Linked DNA regions of Coturnix japonica. Each later gene encodes a partner of the first gene's protein in a complex. Links are inferred from orthologs where the notes say so. Each region holds a gene or a part of one and is shown in the gene's direction. Other genes may lie near its edges.

Region 1 (4,283 bases):
ACTGCTTCCACTTCTGACAAATTCTGATTTATTTACATTGACTGAAGAGCAGACACCAGGCATTTATGTAAATACCTGTGTGCTCTCTCTAATCCTCATGAAGCTGTAGTCAGAAAAGCTAATAAGACAATGGAGCATTGGAGCAATAAATGGCATACTGATTAAAATGGAACGTTGCAATACCACTACATAGAGAAATTAATTCTGTCTCCTGGAACAGCCTCCAGCATATCCCACCTCAGTGAAAAGGTCATAGAATCACAAGGTTGGAAAGGACCTACATGGTCACATAGTCCGACCATCCTCTTATCACCACTGCTACCAGAAGCTACTAAAGCATATCTCATAGCTCCTCATCCAGATGCCTCTTGAACACCAGCAGGGATGGCGACTCCACCACACCTCGTTGTACAGCACACTGTAGCTCGATGGCAGCCATCTCACAGTGGGCAGTGGGAAAAAAGGGAAAGGAAGTGTCAGCCATGACACTTGCCTCGGCTGATAGCGATAGCAAAAATGCTCACTGAAATTCAGAAAAGCTATGAACAGAGCAAATATATCCCCAGATAGCTGATGAGTGCCAAATGATAGATAAACTCTAAAATCCCGAGGTTTAAGGTTTACAGGATGCTTGAAAGAGAGCTTAGACATGCTGGTGGACAGCCTGTGAGAGGCAGGGAATCCGTGTAAGACTTGTCCTCCAGACCATCACAGCTTCATTGTCTTTCTCCAGACACACTCCAGGGTCCAATGTCTTTCATGTACTGAGGGGCACAAAACTGAGCACAGTGCTTGATGTGTGGCTTCACCAGTGCATAGTACAGAGGGATGATCACCTTCCTGTGCCTGCTGGCTGCCCTGTATCTGATACAAGCCAGAATGCCATTGCACTACATCATGGCACTGCCTCACCTGACAGATACCTTGCTGGCTCTGAGGAACCCACTCAGCTTCCTATCAGCGTAGGTGCGCATCACACCTGCATTACCTCGCTGGCACGGGTGTAGAGCAATTAACCTCCCTATTTCCTGCTCCCGTGCTTGTTCTCCAACCTTCTGGCAGCTGGAAACACTGTCTGAAGCTCCCAATGTTTCAGGCTCTAGAGAAGTCCTTCCTCTCCTAAACGTGTCCCAAATTTGTAGGAGGTTCTCCTTCACGTGAAACAATCACCGCAAGCAACCGCTTATGAAACAACAACGCTGTATGCGTGGGTAAGAAGACACACTACCTAACTTCCCCCACCACCGAGACTCCCCGCAGCTTCACGGCCCACAAGCCCCGCTCTCCACCACATAGCGACGCCCACCGCCGTCGCACCTCAGCGCCCATCGCTGTTGCGTGCAGCGGAGAGGCGGGGCCGGGCGGCAGCTGACGGGGGACGCCGGGGCTGGACGGAGCGGGCGCGCACGCGAGACGGGAGGGGACGGGGAGGAGAGAAGGGGGAGCCCGCCCCGCCCCGCCGCGGCGCCCGGCGCGCTCCCGGCCCGCTCCGCTTCCGCCCGGCGCCGCTCTCCGTGCAGCGCTCGCTCCATCGGCCCGTTCCGGCCTGGTTCTGCTCCGCCGCGCCCCCCGGCTCCCATCGGGCAGCCCCGCCGTCGTCATCGCCCCCGCCCCCCCCCGCTACTAGGCGCTCCGGCTAGGGGTGACCCGCCGGTAGGGCCGCCTCTCTCCGCAGCGCGGGGCCTGCCCGCCGCTCCGCCTCGGGCCGATCCGTTGACGGTCGCCGCCGCGGAGAGGAGGAGGAGAAGGAGGAGGAGGAGGCCGGAGCCGGGATGTCCGGGCAGCAACAACAGCAGCAACAGCCGCCGCCGCCGCCGCTCCCCTTGGCGGCCGCCGCTCCGCCGCCGGCGCCGGGGGTCCCCTCGGCTGCGTCCAGCCCCGGCCCCGCGCCTGCCGCCGCGCTCCTGCTCCACCCTCCGCCGCCGCCCGCCACCGCCGCGCCGCCGCCTCCAGCCGCCGGCAGCACCGGGCCCGCGGGGGGCGGCGGGGGTGGCGGGGCGCCGGGCTTGGCGGCGGGGAGCGGCGGCGGCGCCCCGGCGGCGTTCCCGCACGGCGACCCGGCCCTGAACGAGCAGGAGAAGGAGCTGAACCGGCGGCTCCACCGCCTGTACCCGGCCGTCAACCAGGACGAGACGCCGCTGCCGCGCTCCTGGAGCCCCAAGGACAAATTCAGTTACATCGGCCTCTCGCAGGGCAACCTGCGCGTCCACTACAAAGGTGAGGGCCGGGGCAACAATAACAGGAAATAACGCTCCGCGCCCTTCTCCTCCTCCGCGCCCCCCCGCCCGGCTCCGCGATCCCTGCCCCGGCCTCGGCCGTCCCCGGGGCGGCGGTGCGGGGCTCCTTCCTGCGGGGAACGCGGAAACGGGGGGGAGGGGAGGGAGCAGGGGTGTGCTTTGAAGAGGGGTGAAAAGGGGATGAAGCTTTGCGAGGGAAGGGGTGGCCGAGGGACTTGTGTCTGCTAAGGTGGTTTGGTAACTTCTTGCCTCCTGGTTCAACTTGCTGGTTCTCCGAAGGAAGATAAAAATCGAGCCGTGTGCGCGTACGGATCCGAGCGAGCGTAGGAAAGCGGCGAGTGTTGGTTGTTATGAAATGTCATAAAACCTGGAAACGGCCGGCGTACGCTCTGACCTGAAAAAACACGGCCACATCTGGTGCTCCGGGCCTGCTCCGAGGGGAGAGTGGCTGCGCTTCACCACCACTAATGCTGGCGGCGAGGAGCCGGCTCCTTTGTCAGTGCCCAGCGAACGGGTGGGGAGGAAACAACCCCGCAGTCACCCTTCTGGGTTGTGCTGTGTGGTGAAATTCGAGTGAAATCCCGATAAACATGTTACTGTTTAATCGGAGGGGGAAAACGGCAACACAAACACATGGCAGGATTTGGCTGCCGTGAAAGGATTAAATGTACTCTCGGGGACTTGTTTTTTTTTTAATAGAGAGGCTTTATTATGACATACAGAATACTCTGTTCAAAATGCTAAGCGTGCTGTGCCGTATGAAGCTAGTGTGGGAGGCTGGCGACCAGCTACAGAGCAGGTTTCTGGGAGGCCCCGAGTGCTTTAAGGACGTGTTATTTAATACCCAACTTCACATTTCCTGGCTTTTGTTCAGTTTTTCATGCCCTCGTATTTTTAGAAGCGTTTTGTATTTTCTGCCGCTTAGTGGCTGCAGTCGGTTTGAGTTGCTTTTTACTTGTTTTCATAGGGTGATCATAGCTTTATGGCCATCAAGTCCTCCTGTGTGTTCTGCTTTGCCCTGCTCTTTTTGCTCATGAACTAGAATTTAGAGACTTTCTGGTCAGCCGCTGTAATTGGAGAAGTGTATTTTCAGGTTTTATTTGTGCTATTTCTGGTTTCCTCCTCTTCGCCTTAGTATTAAACCAGAAATGTGTTGCTTTGGAGAAATTAAAGCAGGCTCCATATGCCTCTGAAGTAAAGACAGTGTAGGAAATGCCGTGGATGCTCTACTGGAAGATGTGAAGCACAGTTGGTAGGTTATGGGAATAAAATGCCATTTCTCTTGCTCTTAAGTAATAGTAAGTGATGGAGGCTGGAGAGTTCTTAAATTAGTCCAGGGGTCTGTGAAGAGGTGAGGTGTCATGAATGGGTTTTTCTTTCTCCTAGCTGCAAGTGGGAGTGAATGGCCTCTCAAGTGGCCCCTCTTTTCTCCCTGGGAGCTGAATGGAGGTGGATGTGAAGGCAGCCCCGGTGCATGTTACCAGCCTGGCACCTGGGCTCAGCAGTGTGAGGTATCAGACACTCCTACCTGAGGCACTGCGTGGGGAAATAACTGAAACATTTGTGGCCTTTTTCCTCTGGATCTTACAGCCCTACGAATGCAGTCAAAGGGAGGAAAATGAGGAGGTTCAGTGAGGAACATGAGAGCAGATAGCATGCAGAAATGTGCTTAGTGTTTTGAAATGTTGTCCCTACAAATCAGCCGCAAGTAGCGGTCTCAAAAGAAGGCATTCAAAGTATCTTATAGGATCACAGAATTTCCTCTAGGATATTAGGTAACTTCAGAGGCACCACAAAAGGCCCAGCATTTGTGAAAGAGTGGTAGATGTTTTTGTTAAAATATGAATCATGCCTGAACACAGATGAAGATCTGTTGTTCTGGACCAAGGAAGTGTGTCCAAGGAAGGGGGAGAAGATGGGTCTGGCCAAAGAAGCCAGTGGTCACAATTGGTTCTTCTCTTTTCTTACATCAGTGATGCAGTTTCTCAAGCTTTCCCTGCTGTGTCTGTAGTTTTCTGACAACAGAACTGTTTTTCTGAAGTTATT
Region 2 (4,205 bases), on another chromosome or scaffold:
CCAACTGTGTGAAGAAGGCGGCATCTTTACAGGAGAATGGAGCAGGGAACCATGGGTGAAATGGGTTGGGGGTGTGGGTTGTAGCAGGCAAACACTTAAACTTCCATCTTTACCATCAGTTTCATGTTCTGAGATGCATTTTGTTTCTCAGCAGTTCATCATGGAAAAAGCGGCATATAAGTATTCATATATATATATATGTGTCAGTGCTCCGTACAGGTCTGATTAACAGCTCTATACTGGTGTGCTGATACCATTAACATCTTGGTTCTTAATTTCTCCTACCCCCAAAGGACACTGTCTTGTTGACTGAGTTGTAGGACGGTATTAATGCTTTTCCCTTCACAACATCCACCAAAGAGAGCTGTAGTAAGATAGGATGAAGGATTAGGAATGTTCAGAGTAAACCTCAGGTCATCTGAAGTCACCATTAAAGTAACCAATATACTGAAAATAGCTCAGTATCCTTTGGGTCTATGGTGCAAAAAAATTAATGCCTGTTTTCTTGTGATCTGAAGACTATCATGGTAGTAAAGGGTTCCCTCTGTAGTATCATATGCAATTTTAAAGTAGAAAATATAGTAAGAACTTGAAAAATTACTCCAGCCATAGGTCACCTTTAATAGCCTGTTTTAGTCTGGCTTTCTATGGTTTGGTTTGTTCTGTTGCCCTTTCTGCTTAATGAGTTTTGGCTTTCAAGAAAGCAGGAGAACACCAAGACAGAATGGTAACTTCATGATCTGTAGAGATTCCAAATGTCCCTGGATGTGGAAAGCAGATGTTGAACTGTTTGGGATCTGCTTGGCAGGGTGACGTGGGAGGAAGAGGGGCCTAAGAAAGCTGGTTGGTATCCACGGACCGTCTCCTCCAAGCCCAGAAGCAGCGTGTGCTGAGGAGAAGGAAGGAAGGCAGCCAAGAATGCCTGGAGGCCTCAGTGGATCAACAAGGATGCAACTGGACTTACTGAGCTCAAAAAGAAAGTCCGTAGGGGTTAAAGCAGGAGCAGGTTACCTGGGGGAATACAGAGGAGCTGACTGAGCAGGCACAGACCGGGTGGAGCTCAACGAGGGCAAGTACAAGGTGCTGCACTTGTGTCAGGGCAATGCCCAGCACACACAGGCTGGGCAGGGGATGGTTGGTGAGCAGGGTTAAAGATTCAATGTGAGCCAGCAATGCGTGCTTGCAGCCCAGAATGCCGATTGTGTCCTGGGTCACATCAAGAGCAGTGTGACCGGCAGGATGATGGAGGTGGTTGTGCCGTTGCTCTGCTCTCAGCCCCCCCCTCCAGCGCTGCACCCAGCTCTCACTCAGGCTCCGTTCCCCGCCGGTCTCTCGGTGGCGGTGTGCGCATGCGCGTCACGCCGAGCCCATCGCGCACGCGCCGCCTGGTTGTGCCGGCAGCACGCAGCGCAGTTTCTGCATCGGCCGATTCGCCGCCCGCGAGGTTGCGGCGCTCCGCCCCCCGTGGCCCCCCCGTCCCGCCCGGCGGCGCCTCGCCCCGCCATGAGCCCGTGCCCAGCGGCGGCCACAGCGGCGCGCGCGTGAGGGCGCCGCCGGCGGAGCTGTCGGTGCTGCTGCGTCCGCCAAGATGGCGTGTGTGCTGGAGGCGCCGCTCCGCATGAGCGTCCTGTCGGTGAGTAACGCGGTGCCTCGGCCGGGCCCTGCGGAGCCGGGGCGGGGAGGCGGCCGCGGGGCCGGGCCTGACCTTGGGGCTGCGCGGGCGGCGGGGACGGCCCGGCACCTGCCCGACTGTCCCGGCGCTTTGTGCGGCGGGGGGCAGCGGGAACGGGCACGGGCCGCAGTGAGGCGGTTTGGCGGCGGTTTGGTGGCCGCTCCCCCTCGTGCCCCGTCCCGACAAGTTCTCCCCGCTCGGGGCTCTGTCCCCGCAGCGCCGCCCTCCGCTGTGCGTTGGCGGCGGCACCTCGCGGTTCGCTCCGCCGTGTTTCCCCTCTTCCCCCCCACTCGCTGACGCGCTTCACGCCGCGGTTCCCTCCGAACTCCTGCGGCGGTTCCGCTCGTTGGGCTCCGGCCCGGCCCCCGCCCGCCCCCACGCGGGGCTGCCCGCGCCCCGGGCCCCGCAGGGAGGGGGCGTGCAGGGCAGGGCCGGGCCGGGCCGGGCGCTGCGGAGTTGCTGGGCTGAGCTGGCCGCCGCCGCGCGGTGCCTCCGTGAGGTCGGCGCCCGCCCTACGAGCTGTGCGGGGCGCTGCCACCCGCGGGGCTGCGGTGTAGATTTGTTACTAAGCGAACCCCGCGGTGCGGGGAAATAGCGCTTATTGAGGGTCCCGCCCTGAGAACTTGGTGGCCTCGGTATGAACGTCCTATGGACATAACCTGTGCTCGCTGCGGCCCCAGGTTATGAATGAGGCTCCCCCAGCTGATAAAGCAGCGTGTTTTAGAAACAGAAAGCAGAGGAATCTCCAAAACCCAGAGTGTCTCTGTGGATGAGGATGTGGAGCAGACACATGGAAGTCCCGTGTTGTCCTCAGATCTATTCTTTGCTACACAGAGGATGATAGAATTTCCCAAATTGGAAAGGGCCCATAAGGGTCATCACTTCCAACTCCTGGCTCCACACAGCACCACCTGAAAATCAGCCCGTAAATCTGAATGACTCGCCTGTAGGACTTTCATAGTATAATTGAAGAGCCATCTTGCAGGCTGAGGAGTCCTGCTGCCTCCAGCTCCTCCTCCCAGTCTTCTGTGAGACCCCATCGTGCTGCTGGCAGCTCTGCTGTCTCCAAGCAAAGAGGCACAGGTTTAGCCAAGAGTGGGTGCTTGCAAAGCAATGGAGTGTTTGCAATTCCTTTATAACTTTGTTCAAGTAAAACTGTTAATGGGAAGAGTATCAGAAAATGCTGAGTTGGCAAGAAAGAAGAAAAAAACAGTGAGATAATGGAAATACATTGTCACGTGTTTGTGAGAATCCAGAGGGAAATTTACCTTCTCCTTTCCCACCCATACCTTTGGAATGTTTTCCATCTCCAACTTTGGATCTTCTCAAACAGAATAAGTCATTGGAGCAGGTGACTGTCCCTGCAGTGTGTGAAGGTGATAAGGCGCCCTACAGCAAAGTGTCTTAATGTGAGCTTCCTTCTCTTCGTGAGCTTGTTTGTCAGCACGGTTCTTGAGCAACAGTAACAGCTCTTATCAAGTTTTTCTTGCAGGAATTCATGGTTGTTTTTCTTTCTTTCTGTGTAGTAATTGAACACAATAAAATGGGAATTGAAGGTAGTGCTGATATCTGAAGGAGACCCCTTTTGTGTGTCCTGTTCGTGACCACACAAGCACCTAGCAGCACTCCGTTAACTTGCTTTGACTTGCAATGTGCTGCTACCCATGTTAAGTACATCTTATTCTTTAAGTCCCACTTAAACACAGGGTTAATTCTTTGTGCAGATGTTGCCCAGCAGTAACGTACTGCGCATTTGAATATGATCCTGTGGTTTTGCTGCTATCTTGCCTGGTAGGTTTCAACAAGCAACAGACTTGCTGTTGCTTTAGTTATTCCTGCTTATCAGCCATCATATGAATTGATCAAAACTCATTAAAAAGGAGTCATTGTTTTTCCTCTGCAGGAGGTAACAGCCAGCAGCCGCCACTACGTCGACAGATTGTTTGACCTGGATCCCCAGAAAGTCCTGCAAGGTGTCATGTAAGTTATCTGAAAGGCTTTGGGGCTGTTGGTTAAGCATAAGCTGGGTTAGCTGCAGTCCTGCTAGGGCTGTCTGTCAGGGGGAAGAAGCTCTATCTCTTTTGAGAGGTCTTGATGGAGATTCTAATACTAACATGATGGTACTGGTTTAACACCCTGTTACTTTGTGGTGCATATAGCCAGCCTCCCAGTTGGCAGCAATGAGGATAAACGTTCAGCAAACATTCACAGAAGGTTTTCAATCCATTCTGCTTTCCTCTTGCTCTCTTCTTGTCCTCTGCCAAGTCATCACACCTGCCTCTTTTGTCTTCCCCTGCTGCTATGCCTGAGCATTGATTTTTTTCTGATGCATGGCTTCCGTCAATATGAAGGGAACCGCAAGGAGAAAGAAAACACTTCCATAGGAATAAATTGTGATGCAAATTATATTTCAGTATTTCTATTGTGTGCCAGTGGTAGTGGGAATGATGGAAAGATTAAGTAGAAGTTTTGCCCTGCTGAGTGGGTAGTAAAGCTGATGCAAAGGTCTGTTTCCTTGCTGTCTCTGGGCTAT
Region 3 (4,052 bases), on another chromosome or scaffold:
CCCAGATCTCCTGACCACCCATAGGAGCAGATTTCTTGCAGACACCACTTGGAGGAACCATGAACCCTATGTGCAGCAGCAACTGGATCATGTGTCAGACACGTTGCACGTGGCAGCTGAGTCACTGGGGAGGAACCACTGTCCTCAGCTCACCGCAGCCCACACGTCTCACCCAGAAGATTCCCTTGACAATTACAACCAGCTCGTAAATGCTGAGCCCATTGAATCCACCTCCTGGCTGTCACTGAACTGTGCCCTGCCAACACGGGCCCAGCAGAGAGAAGGATGGGGATCCACTCAGCCTCCTACAAGCTTCAGGGCCTCAGGAAATGCTGCAGTGCTGGAGCACAGCTCTGGGAGGATTCAGGCACCTCAGCGTGTTCCCATTGGCCTCATGATACTCAATGAAACCCTGACTCCCATCCTCGTGTTTCCAGCAATATCTGTAGAGGGGCTGCACAGCCCAGCACGTGCCTGGGAGGGGCTGGTGGAGCTCCCCGCCATCCCACCCGCAACCAAAGGGAACCTTCAAACCCACTGATGGAAAAGCAGCGCAGTGACGCCCCACCACCTCCTTACCCACCTCGGAGCCCATTTTCCCTCTTCCTCCTTTCTTCAGCCCATTCTGAAGGCCGGAACCCAACCCCTCCCCCAGCCAGCAAGAGCTGACCTTGAGGAGGGGGCTCCCACTAATCCCCCCCCACACACACACACACCGACACCCCCCGCGTTCCCCCGCTCTCACACGGGGCTCCGGGCTCCTCCCCGCGGGGCCCACAGCTCCTCACCTGCGGGAGGGGCGTATGTTCGACTCCCACCCGGACACAGCGGGCGGCTCCGGGCTGCCACAGCCGGGATGCGGCCCAGGGCCTGCAGGAGGCGGCACATGGCGGCGGAGGAGCCGAAGAGAACGATGAGGAGCCGAGAGGAACGATGAGGGGCGGCGAACGGAGCTGGAGCGTTGCGGCCTACCCCGGCTCGGAGCGGCCTCCCCCGGCTCAGCTTGTCGCCCCGGGCGCCGCCATGTTGCCCCGCTCCGCCCAATGGGAGCACAGAACGCGCTTTGCCCCTTCGGCCTTCCCGTCGCGTGAGGCGCGAGGCGAACAAACTACATTTCCCAGCAGCCTCCTCACCGTAAAACCTGCCGGGAAGGAGAGCTCTCCGCCAATCGGAGCTCCGCCCCGCCTTCTCGCCGCTTCGCGAGGGCCAATGGGAGAGCGCGGGGGCGTTGCCGGGAGGCCCCGAGCCAGGCGGCGGCGGCGGCGGCCTGGGCGTGAGGGGAGCGGAGCGGAGCGCGGCCCCGGTGGCGGCCGCTGAGCCCCGGCCACGCTGGCGCCCGGGGACCCCCCCGAGATGCCGGTGCGCAGCGAGCGGGGCCGAGCGGGCGGAGCGGCGGGACCGGCATCATCGGCTCCGTCCGGAGCGGCCGCCAGCAGTTTGGTGCCGCCGCCTCCCATCAACACGGCGCAGCCCGGAGTGGCCACATCCCTGCTGTACAGCGGGGCCAAGTTCCGCGGGCAGCAGCGCAGTAAAGGCAACGCGTACGAGGTGGAGGTCGTCATGCAGGTGAGGGACCGTGTCCGGCGCCCACAGGGCCCCGCTGGGCCTCAGGCCTTCCCTGCTTCCCTCCCTTCCTTCCCTTCCTTCCCCTCTGCTCCCCGCTGTCCGGGTTCCCCTCGCCTTGATTCCGCCCGGCCCCGATCCCCCCCATCTCCATAAGCTCCTCCCTGCAGCCCCGGCCCTTCCTGCAGCCCCCACCCGGCTCTCACTGCCCCTCACTGCTCCATCCCCTCAGGGCTGATGGGACCCGGGGTCCTTCCTCTCTTTTCCTCTCACACTTTTGCCCCTTTTCTCCTTGTGGCTGCTGAGATACTTAACAGCAGCTCTCAGAATCACAGAATGACCCGGGTTGGAAGGGACCTCAAGGATCATGTAGTTCCAACCCCCTGCCTGGCAGGGCCACCAAACATACACATTTATTACATCAGGTTGCCCAGGAGACCCCATAGATCCCCATAGAGACCCCATAGATCAGGTTGCCCATGGCCCCGTCCAACCAGGCCTTGAACACCTCCAAGGACGGGGCATCCACAACCTCCCTGGGCAGCCTGTTCCAGGGCCTAACCACTCTCCTAGTGAAGAACTTCCCCCTGACATCCAACTTAAATCTTCCCTCTTTTAACTTAAAACCATTTCCCCATGTCCTGCTATTGCCAGCAGGACTCTCCTTCTCGTTCCCCTCAGGCCTGGGGTGCCCGTGTGCCTCTGGGCTGCCATGAGGAAGGGTGGGATCCTGCCTCGTGTTGGGAGGTGCCCAGGAAGTCCCGAGCAGTGGGACAGCCTGTATTTCAGGCCTGGCTGGAACTCAGCAGGGATCCAGGTCCCTGTGCTGGGCTTTGTGTTCCTCATCCCATGGTGCCAGTGGCTGCGTGAGGAACCAGGGGAGGGGTGCAGCAGTTCTGCTGTAATGGGAATGTGAGCAGACAGTTCTGCAGAATGGGGCTTTCCTAATCCTCTCTGGAGTCACTGTCACCCTGCGTGCTTTATTTTTAGTCAGAGGTGCTGGCACATTCAATTTGGGTAGAGGTGTGGAGTTAGTGCATGGGGAAGCCAGGCATTGATGCATGTTTTCCTGTAGCAAATCACAGCGCTGTTCCTGCTGTGAGTCTCTTGGATCGGGGCACCCAGGCTGGGTGTGCAGCAGTGCTGCAGCCTGGTGCATGGCTCGGCATTGGGGAGCAAAGTCAGAGCCCCAGGGTCAGTAGATGGGGCAGTGTGAACTGTGCCCTCTGCTTTCACATCCAGTCTTCTACTTGTCAACAGCATGACTGTACCCACTACAGTTTGTTCTGACGGAGACATCCTATGGCTGTTTAGTTCACTGCATGCTGCTTTCTCGCAGAGGCTGGCTCTATCTTTGTGCTAAAGACGCTGCTCTGTGCGTGTCAGATGAGAAGAGATGGCTGCCTGCTCTCCCTGTTACTGAGCGCAGAGCAATGTGGCTTTTCTTTGATCACAGGTGGGGAAGAGCCATCTTCTCACAGCTGATGTTTGCACTTCCCTAAATAATTCGCTTCTTGCTTTGAAAACCAATCTGGAGGTGTCAGGGGAAGGCTTGGAAAATCCCCCTGCTTGAAAAGCGCTCAGAGCAGAAGCATCCCACTGCTTCATTTCTGCATAGCAGAGGAGGTGAGATGCAGCCTCCCCCCCGGCCCTGGGGAAGGGGTGACTGTGAGGTGGATGTTCAGTACCAGCTGAAGCAGAACTGAGCCTTGGAAACTCTTGGGGTTAGAAATAGCTTTGGATCAATGGAGTGCCTTCTTGTGCATGCTAATAGTAGGACTTTGCACTTTTTTTCCTAGCACGTGGACATGGAAAACTCCTATCTCTGTGGATACTTGAAGATTAAAGGCCTTACAGAGGTGAGTGCTAATTGCAAAACAGCATGGGAAGATGCTGTTCAAAGGCTTTTCTTAGTGAGGTAGGAGAAGCTACCACTAGAAGGAGGTAGCAGAGGGATTGAGCATACAGCAAAATTGACCGCTAAGTAGGTTAATGGCTTAACTCTGCTGTTCCTGGCATATAGAGCAAATATGATGGGCCTTGATGGGAGACCTGAAAGGAGGGAAGCTTGTCTGGCATCCCTTAGGGTTTGAACTGAATCCAGCCTGACCCTGCAGTCAGCTTTGGACACACCTCCAGCACGCTAGGAGAAAACATAAGACCCAAACAAGTGAGATCTTTATGTGCTTCTGTCCATATCCGCCCAGGGTGGTCTGCTCTGTGCTGAGCAGTCAGTGAGAGGTGTTTCATGGGTGTGACACTACTTACTGTGCATGTCCAAGATTCTTTAGTAGGATCCTTGCTGTGAAATGCTGCCTTTTGCTGAGTTCTGGTCACTAAGTGATAAATCTTACCTCTCTTCTCTCCTAGGAATACCCAACCCTCACTACTTTCTTTGAAGGGGAGATAATCAGTAAAAAGCACCCTTTCTTAACACGCAAGTGGGATGCTGATGAAGATGTGGATCGTAAACACTGGGTAAATAAATT

Evidence for each region. The genes of interacting proteins can lie anywhere in the genome.
Region 2: the proteins of RANBP9 (region 1) and ARMC8 are in contact, whole or in part, in a cryo-EM structure (PDB 7NSC), measured with the Homo sapiens proteins. The link is inferred for Coturnix japonica from reciprocal best matches to the Homo sapiens genes RANBP9 and ARMC8. Residues at the interface, in NP_005484.2 of Homo sapiens: Tyr271, Gly298, His299, Ser300, Leu301, Gly302, Ile303, Asp337, Asp340, Tyr341, Arg343, Glu344, Thr347; in NP_001350870.1 of Homo sapiens: Gln245, Arg246, Asp247, Val277, Leu278, Lys279, Ile317, Ile320, Thr321, Asp322, His323.
Region 3: the proteins of RANBP9 (region 1) and GID4 are in contact, whole or in part, in a cryo-EM structure (PDB 7NSC), measured with the Homo sapiens proteins. The link is inferred for Coturnix japonica from reciprocal best matches to the Homo sapiens genes RANBP9 and GID4. Residues at the interface, in NP_005484.2 of Homo sapiens: Ser223, Lys224, Gly225, Arg226, Asp227, Gly228, Tyr229, Met230, Gly256, Asp257, Thr274, Phe275, Thr276, Thr277; in NP_076957.3 of Homo sapiens: Leu187, Arg189, Asp194, Glu195, Asn216, Asp218.

What each region holds. Positions count from the first base shown.
Region 1 is NC_029517.1:68,373,391-68,377,673, forward strand, and holds the start of RANBP9 (ran-binding protein 9), read left to right. Parts: upstream 1-1,466; 5' UTR 1,467-1,772; coding exon 1,773-2,217; intron 2,218-4,283. UniProt on the Homo sapiens protein: May act as scaffolding protein, and as adapter protein to couple membrane receptors to intracellular signaling pathways. Acts as a mediator of cell spreading and actin cytoskeleton rearrangement.
Region 2 is NC_029524.1:2,407,683-2,411,887, forward strand, and holds the start of ARMC8 (armadillo repeat-containing protein 8), read left to right. Parts: upstream 1-1,393; 5' UTR 1,394-1,588; coding exon 1,589-1,633; intron 1,634-3,575; coding exon 3,576-3,652; intron 3,653-4,205. UniProt on the Homo sapiens protein: Component of the CTLH E3 ubiquitin-protein ligase complex that selectively accepts ubiquitin from UBE2H and mediates ubiquitination and subsequent proteasomal degradation of the transcription factor HBP1.
Region 3 is NC_029529.1:5,014,069-5,018,120, forward strand, and holds the start of GID4 (glucose-induced degradation protein 4 homolog), read left to right. Parts: upstream 1-1,240; 5' UTR 1,241-1,353; coding exon 1,354-1,566; intron 1,567-3,362; coding exon 3,363-3,422; intron 3,423-3,933; coding exon 3,934-4,041; intron 4,042-4,052. Other genes in the region: ATPAF2 (ATP synthase mitochondrial F1 complex assembly factor 2), read right to left, coding at 789-888.